Linked DNA regions of Xenopus tropicalis. The protein of the gene in region 4 interacts with the protein of the main gene of each other region in a pairwise test. Links are inferred from orthologs where the notes say so. Each region holds a gene or a part of one and is shown on either strand. Other genes may lie near its edges.

Region 1 (5,479 bases), on a different chromosome or scaffold from region 4:
CAGCCTGACATAACCTGGGCCCACTGAGAAATGGATTGGAAACACCTAGTCTATAGAAATCTTTAGCTACTAGACATGATTAACAATTCTCCACATTGTTTGAGGCAGACGCATTGTGGTGGTCCTGAAACGGTCTCATTATGTAACAATGGAAAACAATATTGAACAATACCTCAGGTCAGGGATTGTAATGGCAAGTATGGCATACTTGACTTTAAAGGTTTCAACTTACCCAGACCCTTTGCCTTTTTTTTGTCTTGCATTCGTTTCTGATCTTTTTCAGTCTCGTTGATGGTTCTACTGTCTTCTAAAACCCGCATTTCCTCCTTCTCACCATTAACCTCTTGGACTACTAGTTCAGTATCACCATTTTTTGGTGTCTCCTGGGCTCCCTTATCTGTCTCCTCCGAGTCTCCTGCTCCTTCTTGCTTGTCATCAACACAATATGTACTAAGAATATCTTCCAGCTGCCTACTTAACTCTTCAGACACATCACATACAGTAACAGAATTACCAGCTGCTCCTTCCACTGTAAGACAACCAGGCAACACATCAGCTGATTTTAAATCGGTAAAATTGATAGTATAACCAAGTAAAGTAATAACCAAAAAGTAATAACCAAAAGTAAAGCAGAATTCACACCAATTTTGAATTAATTAAGAGGAATTCACAATACAGGTGAAGTTTTACACTGAAGCAGTAAGCTATATTAATAAAGCACTATATACCTCTGAAAGGTTAACTGCAATGAAACAAATGAAAACAAGTCCTACCTGATAGGACTTGTTGCTACATCGGAGTTAATTCTACACCTGTGTTGTAAATTCACCTAGCAAGTTTCCAAGTTATTAAAGTTAAAGTCGCTAACCTGGCCATAAATATGTACACACTAAAGAGATCAGGCCACAAATTCAGAATTGCTTATTGAACCCACTGTGTGGTGGGTCAGATCTGACTATCTTGCCCTTTTAGACCCATATCAGCTCAGGCTGATTGACCACTGGGACCGCGCCAAGTACCTGACTGTCTGACATGGAAATATATGGGCCTTTGTAATATTCCATATCAGAGTTGTTCCTGAACTTATGAATCATGTAAGGTTTGTGACATAAGGGGAGATTAGTTGCTCCGTAACAAATCTCCATTATTGTGGTGCGACTAATCTCCCCGCAGTGCCATCCCACCGGCGATTTACATTCTAGCCGGTGGCATGGCATTGCGGGGAGATAAGTCGCGCATGACTAATCTTCCAGTGTGTCACAACCCTAAGGCGTTAACAGTGACTCTGATCTCAGGGTAGTGTATAATATAAACACAGATGGAACAGTGCAACAGCTGACCAAGGGCTATCACATCATAAAATGCAGTTACTTTTTAAGTCTATCTCCTAACGCTGTTGTGTGAATTAGATACACCTGTGATGGACAAGGAGGAGACCCACAGACCAGTATGAAGTGAAGGCAACAACTGTAAACAAAGGAACAACAACAAAAGGATGCCCAGCAGGGCGAAAAGGCAATGAATAGCAATTTGCTCATACCCTCAAGGTGGTAGAACAGGTTTTTAGACCATGGGAATAAAGTTCAAGAATGAGAATCACAGTCTGTACAACACTGTAACCTACATGACACCTTTAAAGGAACAGTAACACCAAAAAATGAAAGAGCTTTAAAGTAATAAAAATATAATGCACTGTTGCCCTGCACTGGTAAAACTGGTGTGTTTGCTACAGTAACACTACTATAATTTATATAATAAGCTGCTGTGTAGCCACGGGGGCAGCCATTCAAGCTGGAAAAAAGGCGAAAAGGCAGAGGTTTCATAGCAGATAACAGATAAGTTCTGTAGAATACAATAGTGTTTTATCTGTTAACTGCTATGTGCCTGTGCCTTTTCTCCTTTGAATGGCTGCCTCCATGGCTACACAGCAGCTTATTTATATAAATTATAGTAGACTTTCTGAAGTAAACACACAACTTTTACCAGTGCAGGGCAGCAGCACATTATATTTTAGTTACTTTTATACCCTTTCATTTTTTGGCGTTACTGTTCCTTTAATACCATTATTTGGGAAACTAATCATCTAAAGGACACTACTAACTTGGAGAATTCTATGGGTCATCATACAACATCAACCTAGCTGTGACTGTTCTTTGGGTGTGGCTATCCTGGGAAAGGGCTAGTAAGAGTTATGCTTAGTTGAATGGTATCCCTCATGTATATAAACAGCATTTGTTAGTGAAGTACTTTTCTCTCCCTTCTATTGCACCTTTTCGTTTCCCCTTTTACCTCCCTCCATTTTAGTTTCCCCTTTTCCTTTTCTTTTACTTTATTATTTTGTAAACACATATACCACTTATTTAAAAATCAGGCTACAGGGTGGAGCTTGAGAGAATAGTCTAAATGACTGATAACTTTAATGAACTAAAGAAGGTCTTGACCAAAGGTTGAATCTTCAATGCTGGAAGGCAGAACTGAAAAAATCCGACACCCACTATAAAAAAAATGCTACTACTAACCTTCAGTAGCAGGGTGACAAACTCCAGGTGTAGTCACGTTCTCATCTGTGGCTGGAGGAAGTGAGGGGCTTGATGAGGTAGGGGAAGGCCCTTTGGCTGTGCCATTCTCCAGTTCTTGGTCCTTCATGACTCACTTCTAACAAAAGGTAACAGAAGCAAAGTATGGCATGTAAACAAGAAACTTCACGTTTTTTTCTTAAGAATCTAGTTAACCCTGTATGTTTGTAGGTATAAAACAATTCAATCAATGAACCTTGTTAGCATTAACCACTAACTTATCAAGTAGTTAACCACCTAGAAATAGATAACTCATAAGCTGGCACATTGGATATGCATAGCTCAATGTGCAGAGTAACTCCAGGTCCGGCCCATGCCATGACAACCCTTACTAATGTAGGTTTTGGGGCAACTACTAGTCTGCATAATGGGCACTCCACACCTAAACTGAAGATTTGCATCCCCCCACATTTTATACTTCTTAATTGTTTTATTTATGCAGGGCCACTACATGCTACCTGTTGTCAGCAAACTTGTATGTTGTCCTTGTCGCTCTACACACGGAAGCTGCACCTCAAGCGATGCAGCAGTATGACAAATGATGTAGTTCTGGTCTGTTCCTTGTGTAAGCGCTGAACTGTACACTTGTTTCACACAAAGTTGTTGTCCCTGCCAGTGAGGTTGCGCTGACTCCTTTTCCCGGAGGACACGATTAATAACCGGATTTACCTCACTCTTGCATCCGCTCCGGTAACGCTCACTCTCTGCCGGAAGCCACAGGCACAGGCACAAATCCAGGCCGCAAGCCGGACACTTCTTAGCCAATGACACGCAGCTCCAACAAGCCTAAAGGCCAATGCGCTCTCAGAGGCGGGTCTAACGGAAACCTCTGCGTTCGGAAGCAAGATTTATCGGCGCTGCTGTTGATTATAAGGAAACAGAAACTGTATAGGGCGGTAGCAAAGGCGCGAAAGTAAAAACTACAATTCCCTATAAGCCTTGTTTGTGCGCAGTCGTACGCATGAGTACCACCTTTTTGTGCGCTCGTTTGTTATATATAACTAAGATTCATTAAACTGTGACCCTTGATTTGACCCTGTTCATATAGTTTTCTCGTTTTAAACAGGTTATATTTATAAAAATAAAGCAAAGGCTTATTGAAAGTTTTTTAACATTTCTAAATTGAAATAATATGCCCTTGATACCGTTTCTTTTTATTAACATTGTTAGTTTGTCAGTCACAAGAATAATGATACCTCAAACATTGTTTCCATAACTAATAACATATTGACCCCCAGTATTTCATAAAATCCTAGTGGCCCTAGCAACAAAGACATTAGCAAGATGGGGCTGCTAGTGGGGGTCACCCACTCAAAAACGTGTGGCCCATTTTGTTTTCAATGCGGCCTTGCTAACTGCGATTTTACTGTGGAACTCACTGTTTTTCCAAAATGCAGCTTTTTTCCCTCAGAATTCCAGCATTGTTGTTCTCACATAGGGACGTTGCGCCTGACACAATTGCAGGCACAAGCAAAACCACGCCAAGCCCAACTATAATGAAAATGTAATAGTTTTATCTCATGGAAATGAAAAAAACTTTAAAAATATAATCAATTAAAAATTCTGCTAATATGCTAAGGGGCATATTTCTTTTATTTGGGCACAAAATAAAATAAATATGCTGGTAGGTGGCAGGGGCCTACCACGCAGGGTCCCTGTGTGACCAGTGGGCAAATAATTGGAGGGGAGGGTCCTGCTTAGTAGTATGGGCCTCATGACTACTGCTGGCGCACTCCTTTCCCATATCACAGTATACTTTCATGGTATCACATTTACAATTATTACAGCATTATTTATACTACTTTTAAGGTACCTTAGTATTAACTGAAGGCAAAGCTCTAAATAAATTTTTGGATGTTATGGGACATCAGACGGTAAAGGTGGGGGTCTATGCAGAAGAAAAGAATTGGGCTGCAATGATTAAAGGAAGAATGGTATACAGTGGATGTTGGGTTGAGATAGAGTAGCATAATATAAAAGGCAAATGTGTGGGGGGAAAAAACAAAAAGTGGAGTAGGGTTTTTACAATATACCCCCTGAATAGCAATGAAAGTATGATTATTGCTGGCCAAGCTGGCGAAATATTGCCTAAAAAGTCAAAAGCAGAAGAGAAAGTGGAATAGGTGAGGTCAAGTGAGGTTAAAGTAGGTAAGGGCATAACAAATTGGAGATTATAAAATATATTGACCAAAATGAGACAGAGGAAGTAAAGAAATATCAGAAGAGAAAAAGAAGGGAGCATGAGGAAAGAGAAGTAGGAAATACTGAAAAGAAATGGTGGTTGGAATGAGGTAAAGGGAGAATATAGATGCAGCCAGTTCCCGCTGCCAACACCCACTGTATAAAGCACTTAGGGCTGTGGCACACAGGGAAATTAGTTGCAACTAATCTCCCAGAAATTCCATCCCACCACCGAGAATGTAAAGGCCCCCTTTTTCCATTTTTAAAACCTCCTCCCAGCTCCATTCCCCATCTGCCCTTGGATTTCCTCCCCACTTCGTCTCCCACCTGCTGTCACACATCCTGCCTGCACTGCCCTTATTTGCTTTGAGACCTACTAAGAGGGCATAAAAGGCAAATGGTAACTCTACAGAAATTGGAAAGATCCACAGCCGAGATGGAAAAAAAAATGGTGCAACCAATACCAGGGCATTTCAAAAAGCTGTGTGAAGGAAGTCACTGCTAAAAAAATACCCATATCAAAGCCCATTTGTCAAAAGGCATGTATGTGAAGCAATAGATGTAGAAAATAATTTTATGGTTTGATGCACAAAACAGTTAGGTGAGGCAAGTTTAATAAAAATGTTGCAGTTGTGATAGAAAGATCACACATAATGCCTAATGTAACCATTGCAATTTTTAAAGAAGGAAAAAAAAGAAAAATGTAAAAAGGGGGACTTAAA
Region 2 (4,733 bases), on a different chromosome or scaffold from region 4:
TAAGAATTACAAATGAAGAATAGTGCTAAAATGTAACCCTAACAGTCCATGTGTGTTTTTGGTTCCTGGGGTCAGTTACCCTGAAAACAAGAGAGATTTCAAGTTGCAGACTGGAAATAGGAATGCATGCAAAATAAATACTGAAGATCAATTGAAAAGGTACTTAAAATAGGACAATCTATACCATACTAACATTTAGTTTCATGTTAACTTCCCCTTTAAAGTGCTAGACCCAAATAGAGTACTGTTCCACGCACTAATATTCAGACTCAGTGTGAGTTTTGGGAGCGTTAGGATAAAGCCAGACTCTTCACTCCTCCTGATTTTCCTACTTCCATGTACAGGAGACCAAAACTGCACTTTACTATCTAGAAAAAACATTTTTCTCAAATACAGAAGCAGAATACAAAGTGAGGCACGAAAGAGAAAGAGACTCCTCCCTACCCAAACTTTATATTTTATGGATGCTAGGTTTAATATTTGATCAGTAGTATGTCTCTTTGAATCAGGGCTGCCTAAAACCGAATGCAGCTGTCTAACTAAGGGCCCCCTGGCCAGATATATTCCTCCAGGGTTATTATAACCAGGCAGGTACAGAAGTATCTGTATGACATTATTTTTATATAATGCAGCCAACATAGCTAGTATATGAAATAATGACCCTACTGAAAAGGTTGACAGCACTACTTTGGTAGCATTGCGGCTCATTGAGTAACACTACTGGGGTCCTGAGTTCACTTCTAGGTAGAACGCTATCTGAGTTCCTATGTTCTCCCCATGTCTGCATGGGTTTCTTCCCACAATGTACAGGCTCAACTGTGTGTGAATGTGATAGGTTCATTACCTGTACTAGAGCAGGGACTAAAGTATTGTCTCTGTAAAGTGTTTCAGAAATGTATTATTGTTTTATAAATACCAGGATAAAAATGAATAAAATCTGTAAATCGAAACTGGATGTTTCTTTACATGAAACAACTTTTGGAAACTTTTAGAACTATAGTATATAAGAGGTAACACAACCCCAAATGTGGCTGAGGAGTTCTGCAGTCATATATTTAATTCTGAGGTGACATTAAAAATACTTTTTCAAATACTTCTAAAATAATTTTAAAATTATTTTTTTTTTTAAATTATTTCTTGTAATAATACATAAGTATCTGATACTAGAAAGTCTTACATTAATTAATGCAAGAATGAATACAGCATTTTCATATATTGCCAATATGTACACTATGTACCAAACCTTGGCTGGTAACAATCACCAAAAAGACTTTGCTCACCTTTACAGCTGGCCCAGGCAACGTGAAGCAGGAGGACTATGTTGTCCCTTCAAGATATGGTTATATTACTTTTTTGTCATATTGGATCATCAATTAGACATAACTAACACATCAGTTCTATTTTTTCATATAGGTATATTTCACAAAATATCTTTCACTTATAAAAGAATGGTTAGACTGCTTTTTAACCATACTAGACTGTTTTTTTAAACATACATTGCTGAGAATAGAAACACTGTTACTAAATGGAAGGAAATAGAGTAATGCATCAGGAGACCATGATTATGCAGGCAATGGCTGTGAAATGTCTAATGGGTTGAAAGTTCAGCCCCACTGGGAGGGATTCATGACAATCAATTAGAGTTAATGGTTTCTTAATTTTTTACTTAATCTGCCAACAGCTACTATCAGCCAGCAATGTCTGACAAATAGGAAAAGCTGCATCAATTCATTTACTAGAATATTTTTTAATAGTTGGATGTGAGGTTCCCAGTCTCTGCAAGCCAAATACATTCAATGCCATTGGTGAATGCCAAAAAATGCCAGACTGGCTGTATTTAACCCTACATAGTATATCGACAGGCTAGAACATTAAAGCAAAAGTTTGCTCACCTCTCTGCTACAGTTTTAGCTCCCTGCAGAAACCTTGCATGATCGCTCTCCTTGAGTATATGATCTGTTTGGTTGATTAGTACTGTTGATCGTTCCAGACGTTGACGACAATTGGCAATTTGTTGAGCAAGTTTTCTTAACTTCATGACCTTAGAGATGTTACAACAGGTATTAGGAAGAGGTTTAAACTGTTTACTGCACATTATGTACATGGATCAGAGCAGCCAGATGCATCTCAGATCTGATGCACTCTGGTATTAAGATGTACAGTGCTAACAGAGAGGTTTCCCTGGCCCCCAAGGATAGGTGGGAACATGCCCAGATTAGAAGACCAAATCTCCAAATACACAGGGTTCCGAATAGGGTTCTATGGGGAGACTAGAATACTTATTCTATAAACCCTGTAATGGATCCAGCTTGTCCCACCACTGAATTGGGAATGAAAAACTGTAAATGTGCTATCCAAACCAGGTAGAGGTCTCCCAGCTGCTATTACTTTTGTAGTAATGTTGGGATGGGATCCCAATAGTAAGTCTTTGTGAACTAGGACACATCACTTAAAGAGGGATATCGTGGCAGATTTACTAAGGAAAACAACAACAGGTCCTCTGCACTCACAGGGATTGTTTGTCCATATATTGCAAAATACTTCAAGCTCGTCAATTACATCAAAGTCTTCCCTAGTCTGGCCAGGGCTACACTCACTTTTATCTGATTCATTAAGAATTTTACTCTATTCTGTTCATTTAACAAATGGACTGAGTTAAACCCCCAAATGATTGCCCTTTTATTGGCTCCAGGGGATCACCTGACTGTAGCTGGGAAGGATGGGAGCTGACCACTTCTCCTGTATAACCTATAGCAGATGACCTCTTGCTGTTGAGTGCAGAGGACTTTTTGTTGTTGTCTATATAAGTTTTGTGGTCACAGCCTCATTGCAACCCCCCCAATGGTTTAAAATTTAGTGCTGAGCATTACTTCCCCTTTCTTGCTACAGATTTACTAAAGGTTGTAGTTTTTTTTCCCTGCACAATTTAAAAAAAAAAAACCCACAAAAAACACAAATATATAAATACACCATATAAAAGCTGTCAAGGACATGTAGATGTCAATGGAACTTGTCCTGGGCAAATTGTAACAATCTTTATTTACTTTGTGTTTTTTTTCTTTTGTAAGCACACACAAATTCTTACAAAAACAAATAATTCGAGGCTTTTGTGTTCTTAGAGAAGTTTAGTTATGTAGTGTTTTATTGAAAATTTTCCCAGAAACCTTTGAAATCCATCTAGTTCCACCCATCTGTTCCACTTCCTGCTAGCTGCTTTCCCAGGCTCTGCAGGGAAGCCAGTGGCACTCAGCACTGCAAGATAGGAACCAATCAACAACCAGGTATACCTGGCAGGAAACTATGGTCTATCTTTGCTTGTGTGAATGCAGGGCTGTGATTGCCTACCCACCTCCTACTAAGCACATGGCAAAGGACTTACCCACTACTATTTAAAATTCAGACATGGAAAGAGGATTTATGGGGATCTCAAATAAAGGGGTAAAGATAATAATATTTTTTAGTGCAGATTAAAATCAGCACCATATAGTATTTATCACTGCCTACAAGGTTATGGGGATTTTGCCATAAATGACCAATCTGCCCCTTTGGTGAGGTTGCCAAAAGAGCAGATCTGAGCCCAATTTGGCCACCCAAATACTGGCTGCTTTTTGCCAGATATTATTTGGGCAGGGCTGTCGGTGGGCCCCAAATATGAGATAAATTGCCGACTCATTCTGAAGACACTAAATCAGCAGATTAAATATGCCTGTGTATGGCTACCTTTATGCCCCATGTCCTCTTTAATCTACTGGCACACTTCCGGCACTTACACACATCAGCTGCTTTAATAACTAAAACTTTGAGTAGGAGAAAAGTGTTATATAAATATTTTCTATCCTATCTATCCATATCAGTAAAAGAAAATATATTTCACAAAAAGGAACTCTTACTTTTGTCTCTTTGATTTTCACTGCTATCATTTGCTTTCTTCTCTGTATGATGTCCATTAGCTCGTCACATTCTTCATTCAGTTTTGCTTCATGCATGCTGGTGTTTACCTGTACAACAACATTATACCAAAATGTATCAGACAGGATGCCCCCTGATTATTGTGATTGTTAGACCGGTGTGACCTTGTACAGCAGCACGCTCAATGGATTCTTAATATAGTCATTCTACTTTGACAAATTGCACCATATCCCTTGAATAAATAATTTCCATCTCAGTAAGACCTCCTGTCATTAGCAGCTTTATTTTAAATTCAGAGTCTCTCTGTTATCTAAAAAAGTATGTTTTTAAGACTGGCTGAAGATGATGTATCACATCTGCCATTGTTTTCGGATTTTCTACATAGTACTATTTCAAGAACTTTGCTGTTTGTTGTTATTATCAGATGCCTGCTCCTGTCCAATTAGTTATACAAGACAAACACAAACAAGATGCTGTTTTTCTGTTCTAAAATATATCAACATTTTCATGGGGCTTCTGTGCTTGACTGTAAAGGGGATAAACAACTCGTTTATGCTGAAGGGCAGACAAGCAAAGCTTCCCCCCTGCAGTCTTTTCATATTCAGTATTTCTATCCAAACAGTCACAAGACTTAAAATGTTAATTCATATTATTCGAAAAGGAAAGTATGCAAACCTCTGACTTACTACATAGAAGATATGGATCTGCCAATGTTATACATCTCTTTTTGGAATAGAAAAATGGATACATGTATTGTGATATTTGCAGAACAAGAATATAGGATAAAATCACTAACTTGCCTCCAGATTAAACATGTGATGGAA
Region 3 (3,973 bases), on a different chromosome or scaffold from region 4:
ACATATAAGCAAAATTATCCTTGATTTTGCTTTCTAGGAAACTTTTCTTTTCTTTTTATAGTTTATCCACTGGGCATAGTTAGTTAATTTGTTTTTGTTTTGTTTTTCTCTATTTTATTTCTCTGTAAGCATTCAATTTCTTCATTTCTTATCTTTTTGAAGGACAGACTGTCGAATGTGACTATTGTTGTTCAACCTATATTTAAATCATTTGTCATTATTCATCCTAGAGGTTTTATGCAAAAATTCAATAAAATAAAAAAAAAAGAAGGAAAATTACTACATGGCTGCTTCCACATGCCCTGTATTGCTATGTGAAGCAAGCTGGAGGCAGGAAGTGCCATAGCATGTGGGTAGGTGGTAGGGAAGGGATAAGTGGGAGCCAGCAGTACTTAATAGAAAGTAGCTCTTGGCCTGGGACTGTTTAGTCTTTCAGCCATCACATCTACAGAGAGACATGTACAGTATTCAACCCAAAATTGCAGGACATGCAGAAAGATTAATGAATTCTTGACGATTTATGTTATTGTATTTGTGTTTATGTATTATCTGAGAGTCTCCAGTATCTGGCGCAAAACCGTGTGCCTGATTTCACCTGGCACAATTATGCTGGAATTTTGGAAAGGAATGTTTCATTGTGTTTAAAAATCATGGGGAATGGTGCCAGTTTTTTGCATATTTATACCTTTAGAAAATGAACCTTAGTAATTCCAAATTTAGCACCTGGAAAAGAAAGAAGAAAAATATGATATACGATGTAACTTGTCCATTGTTTTTGATATGTCTGTATTTTCCCATGAGCTCAGTTTGCATGTGCACCTAGGCCTCTGACACCCACTGGGTAGAATAACTGCATAATGTCTATTATATTCACAGTTTTTCCAGCTGCAGTGATGAATTACCTGATACATTCACCCCTCATTAACATTATAATTGCATTCTAGTAACATGGCAGTGTCAGACCACTTTTCCTGTTAGGTCCCGCTGCTAAGCAAATAATCTGCATTCTCTTGCTTGATGTGTGAAATCGCCAACATAAACATTAACAACATTATTAAAAAAAAAAAAAAGCATTTTATTTGAAATGATTAAATAAACGGTCAGAGATTTTAAAAAAGAAAAAAGAAAAAGAAGTGCAGCTCTCATGAGGGAAAGGAACTTCCTGGCTCCTCCTACCCCCTTGTACAGCTGGCAGTGACGTCAGCGAGTGCGCGTTCTCGCATCCCCAGCAAGTGCGGGGCGCTGTGGGGGCGCGCTGGCGCGGTGCATTGTGGATACGCGGTGACGTGTTCCCCCGGCCGGACCCAGGATGGCAGACGAGAGCAGGCAGAACAAGCTGGCGTCGGCCCGGCGGAAGGTAAACTGTGCGGACACGGGGGCCGGGGAATGTGTAAGCCTGCTGTTGGTTTCGCTGTAGGACGGCCGTGGCGCAGTTGCCATACCCTAGTGTTAGCCAGCCAAGTTAAGGAGTCATAGGCCGGAGATGACAGGCAAGAGGGAGTGTAATGGCTCATAGTGTGTGGGGGCAGTTAGTATATAGGTAGGAAAGGGGGGCATTACGTAGGGATGGGCAGCTGGCATGCCAGAGTATGGGAGGGGGAGACATGCCAGTGCATGGGGTCTGACTAGTGACTGCTCACACTGCTGGGCATATTCAGCCTGGGGCCCTGCTCTGCTTGTTACACTACTGTGTCAGCACCCCCAGCCTTTATTGCCTGGCAGTGCTTGCTGGGACTTGTAGTCCTGCTGAGATATCTGTGGTGTGAGGGTTTATTGCTGTCATCTTACCCTGCCCCCCATTATATATATGTGTGTGTGTGTACCCTATATAGGTATGTATGCACACAAACTGAATAGAATGTTTGTATTTATAAGAGCTGCCCTGTGTCCTTTCTATTCCTGGGGCACCTAGCAGCCACAGGGGCTACTTCCTTGGGGGGCAGGTGGTGGGGGCAGACTGGGAATTGTATGTCAGCAGTAGCAGCAGCGTGATTAAGCTCCTTGAAGACCATGTTTATCTGCCCATATATGCGCCAGGTGGGCCTGCATTGACCTCCATCATGATGTGATGATTGGCACAGAGGCCAAATGATAGGACGGCGCCATTTGCTCACCTCAGCCAAAGATTTGCTTGTTTCTCTACCTCACCCAACAAACGCATCTATAAATCCTGCAGCTGACAGCAAAGCTTTGCGTTGAAGTAATTATGGTACATATTGCTTCGCTTTTGGTATTTCGAACAGGAGCTTAGCGGTATTATTACACATAGGGGATCTCCATACAGTTCCACTCTGCATAATGGAAGAAAAAAGAAGAATAAGCAACGTCCCAAAATACATTCATTAAGAAATGTCAAGGGCAAGAAAGTGTTATTCCCTGGCTGGTGCCTGTTTGGCAATTACACGTCCAAATACCCAGAAAACCACAGGATTTTTTACAGTCACGAATAATGGAAAGTTGCTTAGAATGACAGTTTTATATAGTGCAAGAAATATATATATATATATATATATATATATATATATATATATGTATATATATATATATATATATATGTATATATATATATATATATATATATATATATGTATATATATATATGTTTTATTTTGGCAGGGTTCCCCTATAAGCTAAGGCAAACGTTCATGTTTTAGTGTTATCAAAGGGACCTGTAGTCAACTGGACCATAGCGTCCTGTTCCTTGCAATGTTCTTATAACCCGCACTGTCATTCTTGTTGTCCTTATCTGTGTACATTTGGGATCAGACCTATGTGTGCTGTGCAGGTTGACCCAAAACCTGTGGGTCCGGCAGATTTGGGCTGACATTCCCACAACATTTATGTGTCGTGGGCAGTTTCAGTCTGTGCTCTTCCTTTTGCCCTTTACATTTGCAACCTTATTTTGCCTACTTCCGCCTCTAGGGGCAGGTGCAGGTCTATCATTTATTTTTCTCTTGTCCTCAGCAAAGCAGATGCTTCAGACATCTCAGTAAGAGCTGGCTATTATTATGGGATATGATAATATATACATCAATACTACTACAACCAATTTATCATTTAAAAACACCACACAGATGATAAGAGAGAGTAGGTGTGTCTGTTTCTTAGTTGAGGGGAGGCGTTGCGGCTGGCATATGGCCACTTGTATACTAGAAAGTAAGGCTAGAAATAAAATAAATGCGGGTGCAGGGAGAAAGATGTTATTCTGGAGGCTTTTAGAGTAATTTTATGGGATTTTAAAACAAAAGGGCCAACAGGCCAAGAATCAACCACTACAATCCAATCAGCATTTAGATATGCCCACACCCTGAGCCACTGTATCGCCAAGGTGCACACAGCGGATTTCAGTGCTGAAACACGTGAGTATGCATTTCTGCACATTTTATAACTTATAATGTAGAGTTAGCGGGATGCAACCTGGATCCAAAAGCTGCGTTTATCCCTACCCTGTGGCACTCACCCATTCAAAGCAAAGTTTGGCCTCAACACAACCTTCCTGCTACTGTTCCCAGTCCAGGCAAGAAAGAACCTGCAATGTTGCACTAGGGAGTTTATTCATTTTTGAGGGAAGAGGAAGATGGGACAGACCTGCGGGATTCTAATGTGGGGCAATGTGGGGGTGCTGACAGGTCACAGAAAGGAAGGAGGACAGAGTTGACATGAAGGGGAAGGTAACTGATAAGACCAGAGAGTAATCGGATGCAAAAAAAGTATGACGGGCATTAGGAATGCTGGAATGTTGCAGTACAATAAGGCTGTTGTTCTCTATAGAAGAGCCGGGGCCTTGCAGAGCCATAGCTAGAGCTTTCCATGTCCCTCTCCTGTTCAACTACCAGTGTTGGATTTGTCACTTTAGTACCAAATGTCTGATATAGAACAAAAAGCTGGATCCTGTTGTGGGGCCAAACATCTCTGCTTTTTGGCACTTAGCAGGGAGGATGCCCACTGTCTGAAATGGCATATATTTCCCAAT
Region 4 (5,254 bases):
TGAAACCTGCCTCCCAGTTGCAGTTCTCTACACTGCAATCATTTGTCCTGCTCTCACTATTTTCCGTCAGTCCCCCAGACCATGTCAGCATTATATTCTTGTTTTCATTTTCCTCTGTTTTCCAGATCCTTCCAACTGCTTGTCTCTTCCTCATACAAACAGGGAAAGTGGAGGCGGGCTTAGCCCATGGACTGATTCCTGACAGTTTAAATCGTAGGCGGCTGTTCAGTCACCTTGTAAATGGGAACCTGAATGACAGTGCTGATACTTCCAAACATCTCAAGCAGCCCGATCAGATGACTTGTTAATAGTATGTATGAAAAGTCACAAGCAGTTGTTCATCAGAGTATGTTTTAAGAATCCAGGGTACTTTAAAGCAAATTTACACACTTTTTTTTGCATAATAATAAATACTGTAAGGAATTTCCAATAAACATTTAACATTTTCCTGGTTTTCAAAACTCTTGAATCTCCCCTGCTACCTCAAGCTCACAGGTTTACCTTGATGTTTAATTGTCCTGGGAGGAGCATTTGTGACAGGCACGGGTCAACTATAGGCACTGACGCGCATTCCTCTCCTTGCTCCTGTTTACCGGGTCAGGGGCTGAGGGTGCGCTCTGTCTTTTATCAGGCAGAAGAGGCTGCTGTCTTTATTTGTGTGCTGGGCAGTTTCACCTTTCCACCCCTAACATATATCTCTCACTTCTGGGAATCTCTGGCAGAGCACAGCATGTGCAATAGAAAACAGAGGTATCGCTGATCCGTTCATAAAATATAACAGACATTTTAAAGGGACCCTTATAAGTTTGGGAACCTTAAGCTGGCCTTGTTAATATGGCTAGAAATTCTAGTGGTACATTAATATTGTTTTGCTTACAACTGATTAAGAATAGAAGGAAATAACATAGATTAATGTACCACTGGAATGGGCCCTGTTTATAACTTTGGAAAATACACAAAACTGTTGACATGTCTGAAGTTGATATGCCCTTTATCAGTTTTATTTAGTAATTTTACTGGCATGTCTGGGGTTAATATGCCCTTTATCAATTTAATGTAGTCATACTGGCACCTTTGAAGTTAATATGTCCTTTATTCATCTGGGGCATGTAAAGTGGGTGTGGCATGCAGGGGCGTGGTCACAAAGCAGGCATGGCCAAAAAATGTTGCCGCACTACCCGCGTCACATATTTTTGTCCCTCTTTCTCTTAATGAAATGTTGGGAGGTATGCCCTAATTTGCTCAGAAACTTTTTGGTCAAACTCTCTTCTGGGGCCCCCTAACTTTCTGCTGCACAACTAACAAGTAACCCACACATATAAGAGTCAAGGTCAGAGGAAATGATTAGTCAATCTCACTCATTAACTATTGCCATATTAGCCCCTGCTTAAACAAAAACACTAGGTCCCTCAAAGTACAAAAACCTGAAATGATGACTAAAATTCTACTTAGCGCTAATTTGGACAAAAAGGCTTTCCTTTCTGGGCGATTTGGGAGAAGAGGCTTTTTTTTAGTTCCCTGGCACAAGACATGACTTCTGATAAAATGTTGGTAGCCAGGAGGCGAATGGAACAGCAGGTAACCGATACAAACATTAGTCTCTCTCTCTCAGAGCGGCTAGGGCCGCGGCGCTGCAGTTACCTGGGAGCGTGACGCCATAATCTCGCGTGATGAGACTTGAGGCGGCGGGGTTTTCAGTAAAACAGGAGGCAAGGCATTTGCCATTAACAGCTGAGCGAGAGATGTAAGTAGCGATCCGGGACTAGACTGCGTGCTGTGTTAGGAAAATCGGGAATGATAAGTGGGACAGTCGGGCGGTATGCACTTAATTGGGTTAGCCTGACTTCAGAGACCCAGACTTCGGAAGATTGGTTGCTTGCTATGTTGCATGCATGGGCTTTGCTCTACACAGCTTTCAGTACTGCTCGTTTTGGCATTGGAAGTTTTAGTTTCTGTAGAGTTGCACAGAGCTTTCCCCTCAGCCTATCCAATTTTCATCCAACTTTACCTGGACTAAAACTTCTGTGACAAAACAAGGGGTACAAAAAGCTGTTAAGGGGAAAGAACACTTTAGGGGTATATTTATCATGATGTGTAAAAAGTGGAGTAAAACATTACCGGTGATGTTGCTCATAGCAGCCAATCCGATGCTTTGGTTTTCTAACTGTTGAAATCTTATTGCTGATTGGTTGCCCTGGGCAACATCACCAGTAATGCTTCACTCCACTTTTTATACAGCATGATAAATATACTCCATAGACACCCTAACAACCACCCTTCCTTTCAAAGTCTGCAGCTCACTGACAGCAGGTTAAGTGCTGCACAGCTGGGCAATGACACATGATGAGATTAGTCACCCCGTGATTAATCTTCTCCAGTGGTGGCGGCTAGTCTCCTCTGAATGCTTTCCTACTGGCGACAGAGTCGGAACTAGGTGGAGACAGAAAAGGCACCTGCCTAGGGTGCAACAACGGGGGTAGCCAGGTAGTTACCTCTTCTGCCTACCCCTAGTCCATGCAGCCATGCTCTCTCACCCCTGCAGCTAGTCACTGCGTGTTCTCAAGTATGCCGGGTGAGTGCTGGGGTGAAGAGGCTGGCCGGGTTGCCTAGGGCGTCCGTATGGCTTGGTCCACCCCTGACGGTTTATAATGTAAATCGCCAGTAGGAAAACATGCGTTGCTCCTGCTTCAGAAGTTGCCTCGCGAGGAAACTGCCCAACATCAGAAAGCCAAAGCGAAACATAAATACGATTTACACCAGTAGAAAAGCATTCAGAGGAGATTAGTTGCCACTGCTAGAGGAGGTCAATCACTGGGGGGTATATGACTTACGAAGCCGTTCAGCTTTACATAGGTGGGTTACATTTTTTTTTTAATAATACATTTCATTGAGTCATAACTAATTGCAGATTAATACTGATGATGTACCATTTATAATATATTTTAAAGGGCATTCAATCAGAATCACATCTTTATTGACATGTTGTTAGGGACCACAAGAAAAAGTGCCTGATCAAATGCAAAAAAAAAAAAAATCGGTGATTTCATAGGTATAAAATGGTGATTTTTATTTTACTGTAATTTGATTGTATCTTTTCTCTTTTCCTTAACTGCATATGTGTTTATATTCTCCTCATAGCTTCTTAGGATGGAATCGCTGTCAAAGGAAAGTTACCTTTCAAGTTTTCACCAGTTTCCTTCGTATGCTCCTTTGCCTGACCATATCAAATTTGAATCTGTATCATCCAAGAAAATACAGTGTTCTGCACTGGAAAACATCAGTCCTCATCAGTATGACATTCTTCAAGCACCAAACAGTAGAGGTGATGTAAACTTACTGCTCTAAAAGAGTATTTGGTATCCTAAGCATGAAACATGAGAGACATTTATTGGTATAATTCCACAGACAATGAATGTCAAAAATACATAATTGTTTCCAAACTACTAATTGGTACATAGCACAAGCCCTGTGAAGAGGTTGAGAGGGTAACCCTAGATAATCTTCACTACCTTCTGGAGCACTAAAACATTATTTTGCCCAGTCCTGCGCTTAAGGGCAAATGCCCATACCTGGTGCACTCTTACCTTCCAACTTGTGCCTGTATGTTACCCAACCACTTAGATTGTAAGCTCTACAGGGCAGGGACCCCCTTCCTACTGTGTCTCATACCACATGGCACTTATATATTTATTTATTTATTGTATTTATTTATTATATCACTGTGTCCTCCCTGTGTGTAATTTTGTATTCTGTAAGATTGTACAGCGATGCGTACCCTTGTGGCGCTTTATAAATAAAGTTATACATACATACGTACAAACTCAACCTTCTGGCAAACAACTTGGTATTAGAGACCAAGTATATTCCTTGTTACTGTTTATTTTTTCTTTCTTAATTGGCTTATGTACAAAGTGTTTTTTTTCCTATAATACACAACTATACATTGGCTGGGCACACAACAATCCACAAACTATACCACTGAAAGGACTGTTTCTTCAACAAAATATGGACCTTTAAGTCACGTAGTTAGCGTAAGCTTAGGCAACTGGATTAATGTACGATGATACTATGTAAATGGTATTGACATTTGCACTGAACAATATACATGGAGTTTGGTATGCACTGCACAACTATTGATCAAATAAAATAAAAATACTTAAAAAAAAAAAAAATTTGCATCCTCAAGAAAAGCAATTGACTATAAAAGGTGCAGCCACTGTAGCTATATGAGTGCTGTATTTCTTCCAAGTATTTAAATAGCTAGAATGCCCCAGGCATTATAAATGTTTTTTTTCCTGGGGAATCAGGGCAGATACATTTACTACGCATCTCTATGTTTGGGCCTGTTTTTTTGCTAGTTTATTTAAATAACAAACAAAATTACATTTTTTTAATAATTGAATCATTTTGTTGTCATACCAATCAGCTCTAATTTCTGCACTGAAGACTCTTCAAGAGAAAATATGTCGACTAGAACTGGAAAAAACTCATGCTCGTGATCGTTTAACAAACTTGACTAGAGTAGCTGGTGAGCACAAAAAGGTTCTGGAGTCTGAGAAACAGTCTGCAGAATTGGCTGCAAAGGAAGCCACAAACCAACAAAATGGTAATGTGGCCCATATCTATTTAACAAGAGTTTTCACCGCTCAGCAGTACAGTTTTGTATTTTGGTAGGAAGTATGTATATTTTTATTCATATAACACTACTTGTGTATGCAACGCTGTATAGTAGATATACAGTATAACTATGTTGCAAACCACAAATAGTCAACATTTGGGAACCACTGCTCTGTTTTAAATCTTTAGAGCAGTTCAGATATATATATTTAAGGCATTGAAAGATATGCTTGGACAGTCCTTATTTTTACACTTATATGGAATACACTAGCTGTTCCTTAAAAGCATTACTTAAAAGGATTCATAAACCAAAATTCACTGTGATAAAACCTTTTCTGCCTGACCTTTTGCCCCCTCACAGTGAATTTGGGTTCTCTTGTCTTTTGATGAAACATTTGCATTGGCTGTATTTCCAAGTTTTAGCCATTAATTTGCTCAAAATTCCATTTCTTTTCTTGACCTAGATATTGGCAAGCAGCTAAATAATGCCAAGCAGCGGTGCTCATTACTTGAGAAACAGCTAGATTACATGAAAGAAATGATGGAGAATGCTGATACACAAAAGACCACAATTCATGAGCATCAGGTAAGGAACATCCACCTGTCAAACCACTACCTATATCCTTGTAAATTACTG
Region 5 (4,733 bases), on a different chromosome or scaffold from region 4:
AATCCCTGATGCTGCACTACGATATTTATATCATAGGCTATAGCTGCCAACTGCAGCTATAGCCTATAACTGGCAGCTAAAGCCTATGATATAAACAATGTACCCTAGCCATAAGGTCTTTGCACAATCTATAACAAACAGCATTAATGTATTTATGATTTTCCCTGTGTATGTCTGTTTATGTGTGTCTTACTCCTTGACATGTGCCCGGGGTATGCCTTTATTGCAGTATGTGCCAACTACAAACATCTAATTGCAGATAGGTACCTACACAAACAGCAGGGAATTGATTGGTGGGAAGGGGCTAAACAATAAGTGTAATGTGCTGTTGGTGTAGGTTAATGCATGCAGTTTTATTTAAAGGAGAACTAAAGCTTAACTAAAGAACTAGGTCAGATATGTGTACATTATGTGTTGGGCTTCAGTACCAGCCCAAGGCAACCACAGCCCTTTAGCAGGGAAGATCTGTGCCCCCAAAGATGCCCAGTAGCCCCCCATCTTCTTTTCTGCTGATTCCCTGCACATGTTCTGTGCTGCTGTCACTTACCTGAGCTTAGGGACCCACTCACAATTAGTAATTCATATAGATAACTACTACATGGCAGCTCTGAAACCAGTCCTGAAGAATCTGTTTATATTAAAGGCAAACCTCATTTTCTGCTGGATAATTTGTAAGAACCCCTAAGCTTAGCTTCCCAACAGCTGCTTAGAACACACTGAGCATGTTCAGTGTCACTGACACTCCTAACAAAATCCAAGATGGGGAGCTCCAGTGACAAGTTTAAGGGATTGGATCATTGCTACTATAAAGATGCTGAAACTTTAGGCTGGACAGTAAGTTCAGGATATAAAATATGGCTTTTATAGCCATATTCATTTTTAGGGCTTAGTTCTTAATTCTTTAAACTAGACTGAGAGGCTTTGTTGACATAGTCCCTTTCCCATTTCAGCCACTGTACCTGCAAACATTGGTTATATCTGCTCCGGAATAGCCTTCAATCTTCTGAGCAATAACTTCAAGGTCGACGCTCGGCTCCAACTCTACTTCCCGTAGATTTATTTTCAGCAGCTCTGCCCTTCCATTAGCTGGGAAAACACAGCCAGAATGTTACATGTCAACATATCCAACTAGAAGCCCAACAGTGTAACCAGATCAATCAGGGGACTGCCTGTCATTCTCTCAGCCAATCATCCCGTATTTGTGTATTGGAAACATAATTAAATTAAATGTTAGCTGGCATGTATCATCGGTGGAGAGCAATGTCAGGTTTTTAACACAAGCCAACTGACAGAGCAGAAGGGATTTTATCTGGAGCAATGAAAGGTAGCAGTGGTTAAATTCCTATGGCAGTATCAGCAATATAAACCCGGATTTATGGCTGCTCAATCAAATAACTACTCGTACAGTATTTCAATGCAGATGTCCCTTTTAAATCTGTGATTAATGTTATATACGGTTACAAGACAATGTCATCATAATTTCCTCGATACATTAGGTCCTTCAGAGGATATTGGTTACATTAAAGACACTTAAGAACAAGCCTGTGCGGCTCAGACACTCATTGGCCATGCAGTCTGTTCCCTGCATGTAATTGTCCCAGGTGGAGGAAAGTACATTGAGCTTCCATAATTTATACTTTTATTCCTGTCTGCTAGTAAATGTCCTTGAACTGCAGGAATATTATGGGAAGCAGAATTAATAATAACTGTCCTAATGACTTGCGTCTGGCCAGTTAAAAGTAATGTGCTGCCTATGGAAACCAGCGGTGTCCTACATCCCGCAGCTACTCGCGTGCTACCAATCCACCGAAAATGTCACTGTCAACTGAAAGGGAATGTGCTGAAATATTTATCTTTACCACATTTGTGTTTGTTTCAAAATCCAAAATGAAAATATAAATACTAAATATATTTTATTAAAAAAACAGATTCTCAATCTTGTCAATCAATAGGAAAAGGCTTGGTTAAAAGGGAGCCACCTGAAGAGTTAAGGCGGTGTCACAAGTGCCGCGTCTACGACAGCGGAGAAAAGGCTGATCCGCTACTGTCTTTCTGTGTATGCATGGGATCAGTCTGCCAGCACAAACACGGCCATATTGCTACATAAACACATCCTTTTGTGTTTCCATACATACGCTTGTGTGTGTGCTGACAAGGTAGAAAGGAGCTGACCAGCATTTTCTCCACCAGCATTATCTGTTCCAGCAGAGAAAATGCCAAAAGTGCCATTAAAAATAAAGGCCTGCTTTCAGCAGAACAACTAAATATATCTGTAGGTGCCAATAAACCTGCACAACAAATAGATAAGGGGATTACTGCTGGCGCTCAGCATTTACAGGGTTAAAGGTGGCTATACAGGGGCCGATTGCAGCTGCAATTTGAGTCATTTAGACCCATTCAGCAGCTTATCTGCCCATGTATGGGAACCCCTGACTACCCTGCCCAACCGATATCTGGCCAAAAATCAGCCAGTTATCGATCACACAGGTTTGATTTTTTTAGTCGGATCAGGGACCACATTTTGATGCGGTCCTCATGTGACTTTTCATATACCCTACAATGCGATTGTTTGGCCCTAGGTGGGCATATCGGGGGAAAGATTTTCCTGTTTGGGGACCTTGCCAAACGAGCGAATCTTACCATGTATGGCCACCTTAAGGCCTAAGGTGCATTCTTTATTCATGCGTTCTGCATTCTGCATGAAGGGAACTTTAGATGTTTTGCCACCTGTGCTGAAAAAGATTAAGGGGCAGATGCTTGAGCCCCTAAGTGCAAGGGGCAAAATACCCTGTGTGCCTCTGCCCTAAAGCAGGCCAAAGGTACAGGGTAAAAGAATGCAAATGTAGTGAGCCATTCTACCTATGGCACCTAGCACAGTATCTGTCTGTTTGGCCCAAGGGGACAATTAATCAGATACAGTACAGGATCGGCCAATGTATAGCAGCCTTCTGCTAGAGGGAGAGAATGCTATCAGATATGAATCCCTGAGCCTAGCCAGCTTAGAAACTGTTCTGGTACCTCCAGAAGCATGTAATAAACTTGCACACAATTAGACACACAAATACTACATATATCTATTAATGTACAGGTATGGGTTATATTACCTTGAAACCCATTTTCCAGAAAGTTGTGACATATACAATGCAGTATGAATGCCTATTTAAGCAAACATTGTTGCTGTCTAAGAACCTTGCAGCTGATGGAAACTAAGCTGAATCCATATTGGGTTTATCTAATATTGAAATTATATGGTATGGTATTTAAAATTATGGAAAGATCCCATATCTGGGTAACCCAGCTCCCAAGCATTACAGATAACAGATCCTATACCTGAACACTTAATTCAATTTAGAGCTTAAAGTGTTAAAATCATCACAATCAAGACAGATCTCTATTAACCAAGTTCTTATACGGCATTAAGCATGATCCTGGCAGGCTGCATTACATACTGGGTACAGGCATGGTGGCACACACACGTAACACAAGGGCTCAGGCTGTTGCATTCTGATGCAGCTGAAGTCTAGACAGTTTAGTCACAATGTCCGACTCTCAATGAATCACAATGATCCTGGCCTTTGAGTAAAAAATCACCAACTTATGTGCCTGGGGTTTTATCATTGCAACTTAATTGTCTTCGGTTGTTTCAGCTCATCTTGGATTGATGCTCTGCTTAACAGCCCATTGACGTGCCAGTAAATATGTCACTGAATCAGAATTGGATTCAATTATTTTAAAGCATCCGTAGTAAAACACAGCAAAATAGTAACAGAGATTCTCTTGGGGCGACAATTCCATTTCAATGTTTAATTTCACCTGCTTGGTCGTTTCCACTGTCGCACTGCAGTCTAAAAGTTTGTCAGGGGCGTGAGTACTTGTTGGGAATTGTTTTCATTTACTTGTTGTTTCCGTACGGCACTAATGTGGCAGTGGCCATTAGAATGTTAATAATCTAGAACTGGCAGCAGGAGCTTACAATTAACTTTAAATTAATATTATTTATATTACTTATTTATATTACTTCTCTTCCAGCCCTCTCCTATCAATCCTCCAGGTGGTCGTGCCAAACACCACCTAAGTGTGACCTTAAAGGACAAGGAAAGGCTAAGTCACTTGGGGGGTGCCAAAATTTTAGGCACCCCCAAGTGACTTTAATCGCTTACCTTGTCCCCCAGGCTGGTGCCCCTGTTAAGAGAAAACCACACCAGCCCGGGGTAGCTGTAGCGATGCGCTTCCTCCTTCCTGCTTGTTTTGCCGGCAAATTCCCGGGGCAATCACATGCGCAGTAGAGTGAAAAGCCGACTTTATAGTTTAAGTTCAGCTTTTTCACTCTACTGCGCATGAGCGCGAGCGAAGCAGGAAGGAGGAAGCGCATCGCTACAGGTGCCCCGGGCTGGTGCTGTTCTCTCGGAACAGAGGCACCAGCCCGGGGTAAAATGTAAGCGATTTAAGTGACTTGAGGGTGCCTAACATTTTGGGACCCCCAAGTGACTTCGCCTTTCCTTCTCCTTTAAAGGGGTGGCTCACCCCGTTTAGTTTGGTATAGAATGCCACATTCCTAGCGACATTGCATTTGGTTTTCTTTATTTACTTTTTACAGATTTTTGATTACCGTATTTGCCTTCCCCTTCTGACTCTTTCCAGCCTCAAATGGGGGTCACTGACCCCAGCATCTAAAAACTATTGCTCCATGATGTACAATGTTATTGCTATTGTTACTTTTTATCACTAATCTT
Region 6 (4,733 bases), on a different chromosome or scaffold from region 4:
AATTCATAGGGTTGGACCATAATATTATCTGCGGTTTACAAAATAAAGGGATACAATTATAAGGCTTAACCCTTTACACGCACAAACAAATATTTCACCAGAAAAGATGCACAGTTACAATTGCATATTATTAGGAGACAACAGGTGGAATGCCCTGCTCACAAGAGCTTACGATTTAAGAAGTGAAATCTTTTAGCTTCTTCTTCTGGTTTGAACTGTTTGCTTACTTACATTTATCATTGATTAGTTATTCTGGAATAATGGTAGACTTCTTAACCTATGTTATTACCTTATTTAGATATGGTAGGTTTGGTTCAATGCAGCCTACATGGGGCACATATTAAATGATATTGGAGTGGTTGTCACATTCTTTTTCGCATACACACAAGCAAACACTCAGATAAGCACAGTCTCACACAATCCTAGACATTATGCACACAATGTAAAATGATTTACATTATATTGTTTAGACTGTCAATTATATATTTAATTGGTTTTGTAACTTTTGTACCCTGCATATTGTCTAACTGTAATTGTGTACAAACAAAAAGACTAGAAATTAGACACATATTAATACCTGTAGACTCTTATTTTTACACCCAGCTTGTTAACATTACAAACTGTTCTTTATTTAATGGAAAACTTTAACATAACTAATACTAAACAATATAAATGATGGAGTTCAATAAGCCAGTCTTGATATTTTTATAATACTTTGTCTCTAACTTTTAGTCATTGATCTGGTTGCTTCTGATTTGGAAGAGCTTGCACGAAAATGCTCCCTGTCATACAAGGTGGTGTATATTTTTTCTTTAAAATTCTCTTAGATTTTGTTTGATTTGCTTATCTAATCTGCATATCTTATTACAAAAATGCAGACTGCTATGTCTCTAAGTAAAATTGCCTGACAGGTACTTGCATGAGTTAATTTAGTTAATTGCCAGAGAAGTCAATGGGGACAATTTGAACAGATTGTAAAGCCTTAGGCAAATTAATTGTAGGGGTATGCTACAGACCTCTTGTGTAAAGGTGCCCATACACCTTAAGATCCGCTCTCTTGGCGATGTCGCCAAGCGAGCGGATCTTCACCCGATATCCCCCACCTACGGGTGGGCGATATCGGGAGAATCCAGGCTAATTCGATCATTTGGCCCTGGGGCCAAATGATCCAATTATTACGGCGGGTATAGGCAAAGTTGGATCCGACTAGATTTTTTAACCTGCCTGACCGAGATCTGCCCGATTTCAGGCCAGATATATAGTGCTCATACACGGGCCGATTAGCTGCCGAATCAGTCTAAAGGGACTGATATCGGCAGCTAGAATCGGACCTTAAGTGAAGAGGCTAAGCTGCTGTTGCAGATATAAAAGGCTGCTAGTTTGGGGCATGAAATGATAACGGGAGAGTTTAACTACCTAGATGTTGACTGGGGCAACAGTACTGTCAGGACAGTTAATGAAAACAAGTTTATAAACTTCTTAATTTACCATTTTATGTAACAGATTGTTAGGATGAAACTGGGAATCATGTTATAATGGGTCTAATGATCTCTAACAACCCAGAACATATAGCAAATGTACAAGTAATATAAACTCTGAGGACCATAACGTTACATCATTTAAAGGGGACCTGTCACCCTAAGAAATAATTACAAATTGTTTTCTATTGTGTTTATCAAGCAAAATAAACTTCAATTACACTTTATAAATTATTTTAAACTTATTTCCTTCAGCACTGGAATTCACAATTGCAGAAAACAGGCAGGCTCCATTTTGTGGACACTGTTATTAAGGCAAGCTGTGTATCCTGCTAAAATCTTGTTTCTGTGCCAGTATGGGGGGACCTGATACATATATCTATGCATTGGTTACACAATTAGATGGTGAGGAGGGAGGGGGAATGTGAGGAGTGCAGTGATATCTAAGAAGTTCTGAATTGAAAGTGAAAGTAACTGTCTGCCCCACCCCTATGCCTAAGGCATAGAGGTGGGTCAGGCAATATATGATTGACAGCTGGGGCTTTAAAATGCTTATATAATGGGTATAGATGTGTTAATAAAAAAATGACTTTGGGTTACGTGTAATTTGAAAAGGGCTTTTATTATACAGCTTTTTATGTCTGGGTGACAGGTCCACTTTAATGTTTATTGCAAAAAATAAATATACATTAGGTCAACAAACACATTAAGATCAGTACCTCAGTGCATAGTTTTATGCTAAAAACTAAGTAATGGTTTTCATTTAAAATGCTGCTAAATCTTTCCTGTTTACTCTTACACAGTAAGAGTATTAAGGACCACCCTATATGGCTTTAATCAGAAGTACGGAAGCTAGTAGGAATAGGTCAGAGGGCAACAATGCTTCTTTTAAAAAATATAACAATTCAACAATTGTTGAAAAACAACAATCAAAAAAGGTAAAGAAAACCAATAAGGGACTGACCAAATTTCAAAGACCAATCCCATACAGGTTAAGACTGGGGCTTCATTAAAAATAGTAATAATTTGGGTAGAAAGGCATAATCAGTTCTTTTTTTCAGTGTATGCGATAGAGAAGTCAGAGTTTCAAGACCCACTTGGCAGAAGTATAAATGGCTCCTAAATTACAGTGTTACTATGTGGACTACTTTGTCTGGCGTCTATTATTGCAGTATTCCTAGATCTACAGTAATTGCTTGCCTTTAACAAGATTCTGTACTAAAAGGTTGCATTAGACTGGGGCCATTAACTAACTGTCAGATTTTTTTTTCCATTTAGACTTTTAGTGCTAAAATTTGCAGGTAAAAAGTTTGTGATTTTCCAAGATTTACTATGCGTCAAAACGGCTAAAAATCTAAATCTAGCAATTCACTAGCTAAAACTTGCCAAGATCATGTAGTCAATGGCATATGTCCCTTCCCTGGATGATCCTTCTTTTGCTTTGAAAGTTTAAAAGTTTGGGATTTTTGATGCTGTTTTTTTGTTTGACAATTTGAAAAAGTTGCAGTATTCATAGGACAAGTCGAAATATTGGGAATTTTCATGACTCTTCTGCAACTTTTCCAATGCAAACTTTTTCAGTTCAGACTTTTTAGAAATGTAAGACAGTGAAAATAAGTTTATTCAAATTTGAAAAAAATGAGGAATGTTAAAGTAAATCTGCCCCCTAGAGCTAAGCAATTATATAATCACAAAGTAATTTGTCCTACACTTCATATACCATGTGTTTTTTTTCCCTTTGTGATGGTTTGCGGGCAAATTGGAAACTTCCAGCTTCTCACCTTAATTAAAGGGAACTAAAAAGAGTCACTCTATTTTAAAAGTGTGTTTAGAATTGTACTGTATTTTCAGACATTAATGGCAGTGAGGCGTGTTCTTCTGGCACAGTACTCTGCATTTCCCTCCAGTGGAGCTGATGTGTATGAAGAGCTTAAGAGTTCCACAGCCATCCTACCCACAGGCAACAGAAAGTAAGATTATGTTCATCTCATAAGCAAAAATGATTAGAAAAGTGTAGTGTCACATTGCTTTGTGCTGAATCTCAAAGCTGCTTATTTTACTAATCCTAAAAAGGTACTAACCATGATCAGTCTTTTGCAGGTCTGTGGTGGGAATGTCTGAACGTCTCACAAATCCTCACAAAAAATAAGATTAAAAAAAAGACTAGCACACACAATACTGAACTAAGTGTGTTTTAACCAGTTTATAAAGTAACAAAAAATTATCATACAAAATTAAGCCTATGACGCACCTGAATTTTTACTGCTATGATGGTCTGAGTATTTGCTTCCCATTCATGAAAGTAAACATCTGTCATAACATTGTCTTTGTAAGGGTTAATCTCTTTAACTCTGTCTGTGCTTCTGTGCACTGTATCTAAGCAGTCACGAACCGGTTCGATTTAATCTGTGCGTCGGCGAAACATCTGATATCATCTGTGCATGTGCGCTGATCAGGGAACTTGTACAAACGATACAACCAGTATGTGTATTGCAAACAAGTTCAACTTTATTTTGTTTTGTTATTACATTTATAGTTGATAGGTAAACACATCCCATTATGCTTACGTAGCATGGGTGGGCACATATGCCTTACAGTTATTAGCAAATAAGAGAAATTCATTAAAATGGCTACTGAAGCTTATTATGATTTCTTAGCCTTGAAAATTAGCCGAGATAATCAAGGCCGGAGCAACTTGGACAGACAAGATAGTGAGGATAATCATAACAACTGAAGTAATACATACACAGGCCTTCATGATTGAAAACAAAATTGTGTAAATTCAGCATTTAGCAATTTAAACCCTATCAGTCTTTGCATGTTATTTACAATTTTGCCTTAAAAGTATTTGCCTGATGATTTTACCTTACTTATCTGATCCCCCATGTTCCTCTATGAGGGGGCTGCCATATTTGTGCAGCAGTATTTTGTTAGCATTAGACACTATCAGTGACAGGTTGAGAAGGGACCGTCAGGTTGGCAAACCAGTCAGGTTTAGGAACTTCAAGTAACAATTACTTAAACAAACAAAAATATCATTGAAAAATGATATGAAAACCTATAGGTATCTTTTAATGTATGTTAATATTTTAAAAAGTAGTTTTTTGTTGTCTGTATCACTTTAACAGAAAACTCTACCAGTGGTGCATGCTGTTGGGGACAGGTGAGCAGAACCAGAACTTCCATAGGTGCAGATTTTCCCACTCTTTTGAGGGATGAGAGTCAGGCAGGGACAATTTGACTATCATGTTTCGC

Evidence for each region.
Region 1: the proteins of cep57l1 (region 4) and txlna interact in binary tests that used the Homo sapiens proteins (3 or more experiments, as listed by UniProt). The two-hybrid records come from large-scale screens. The link is inferred for Xenopus tropicalis from reciprocal best matches to the Homo sapiens genes CEP57L1 and TXLNA.
Region 2: the proteins of cep57l1 (region 4) and mid2 interact in binary tests that used the Homo sapiens proteins (3 or more experiments, as listed by UniProt). The two-hybrid records come from large-scale screens. The link is inferred for Xenopus tropicalis from reciprocal best matches to the Homo sapiens genes CEP57L1 and MID2.
Region 3: the proteins of cep57l1 (region 4) and golga2 interact in binary tests that used the Homo sapiens proteins (3 or more experiments, as listed by UniProt). The two-hybrid records come from large-scale screens. The link is inferred for Xenopus tropicalis from reciprocal best matches to the Homo sapiens genes CEP57L1 and GOLGA2.
Region 5: the proteins of cep57l1 (region 4) and katnal1 interact in binary tests that used the Homo sapiens proteins (3 or more experiments, as listed by UniProt). The two-hybrid records come from large-scale screens. The link is inferred for Xenopus tropicalis from reciprocal best matches to the Homo sapiens genes CEP57L1 and KATNAL1.
Region 6: the proteins of cep57l1 (region 4) and rad51d interact in binary tests that used the Homo sapiens proteins (3 or more experiments, as listed by UniProt). The two-hybrid records come from large-scale screens. The link is inferred for Xenopus tropicalis from reciprocal best matches to the Homo sapiens genes CEP57L1 and RAD51D.

Annotation. Positions count from the first base shown.
Region 1 is NC_030678.2:86,590,502-86,595,980, reverse strand, and holds the start of txlna (alpha-taxilin), read right to left. Parts: upstream 3,273-5,479; 5' UTR 3,035-3,272; intron 2,656-3,034; 5' UTR 2,647-2,655; coding exon 2,520-2,646; intron 530-2,519; coding exon 233-529; intron 1-232. UniProt on the Homo sapiens protein: May be involved in intracellular vesicle traffic and potentially in calcium-dependent exocytosis in neuroendocrine cells.
Region 2 is NC_030684.2:40,364,557-40,369,289, forward strand, and holds part of mid2 (probable E3 ubiquitin-protein ligase MID2), read right to left. Parts: intron 3,999-4,733; coding exon 3,891-3,998; intron 2,042-3,890; coding exon 1,893-2,041; intron 1-1,892. UniProt on the Homo sapiens protein: E3 ubiquitin ligase that plays a role in microtubule stabilization. Mediates the 'Lys-48'-linked polyubiquitination of LRRK2 to drive its localization to microtubules and its proteasomal degradation in neurons.
Region 3 is NC_030684.2:22,944,911-22,948,883, reverse strand, and holds the start of golga2 (golgin subfamily A member 2), read left to right. Parts: upstream 1-1,173; 5' UTR 1,174-1,309; coding exon 1,310-1,357; intron 1,358-3,973. UniProt on the Homo sapiens protein: Peripheral membrane component of the cis-Golgi stack that acts as a membrane skeleton that maintains the structure of the Golgi apparatus, and as a vesicle thether that facilitates vesicle fusion to the Golgi membrane.
Region 4 is NC_030681.2:77,964,970-77,970,223, reverse strand, and holds the start of cep57l1 (centrosomal protein cep57l1), read left to right. Parts: upstream 1-1,659; 5' UTR 1,660-1,744; intron 1,745-3,138; 5' UTR 3,139-3,147; coding exon 3,148-3,322; intron 3,323-4,426; coding exon 4,427-4,606; intron 4,607-5,081; coding exon 5,082-5,203; intron 5,204-5,254. UniProt on the Homo sapiens protein: Centrosomal protein which may be required for microtubule attachment to centrosomes.
Region 5 is NC_030678.2:154,249,770-154,254,502, reverse strand, and holds part of katnal1 (katanin p60 ATPase-containing subunit A-like 1), read right to left. Parts: intron 1,087-4,733; coding exon 960-1,086; intron 1-959. UniProt on the Homo sapiens protein: Regulates microtubule dynamics in Sertoli cells, a process that is essential for spermiogenesis and male fertility. Severs microtubules in an ATP-dependent manner, promoting rapid reorganization of cellular microtubule arrays.
Region 6 is NC_030678.2:94,392,920-94,397,652, reverse strand, and holds part of rad51d (DNA repair protein RAD51 homolog 4), read left to right. Parts: intron 1-732; coding exon 733-794; intron 795-3,329; coding exon 3,330-3,448; intron 3,449-4,733. UniProt on the Homo sapiens protein: Involved in the homologous recombination repair (HRR) pathway of double-stranded DNA breaks arising during DNA replication or induced by DNA-damaging agents. Bind to single-stranded DNA (ssDNA) and has DNA-dependent ATPase activity.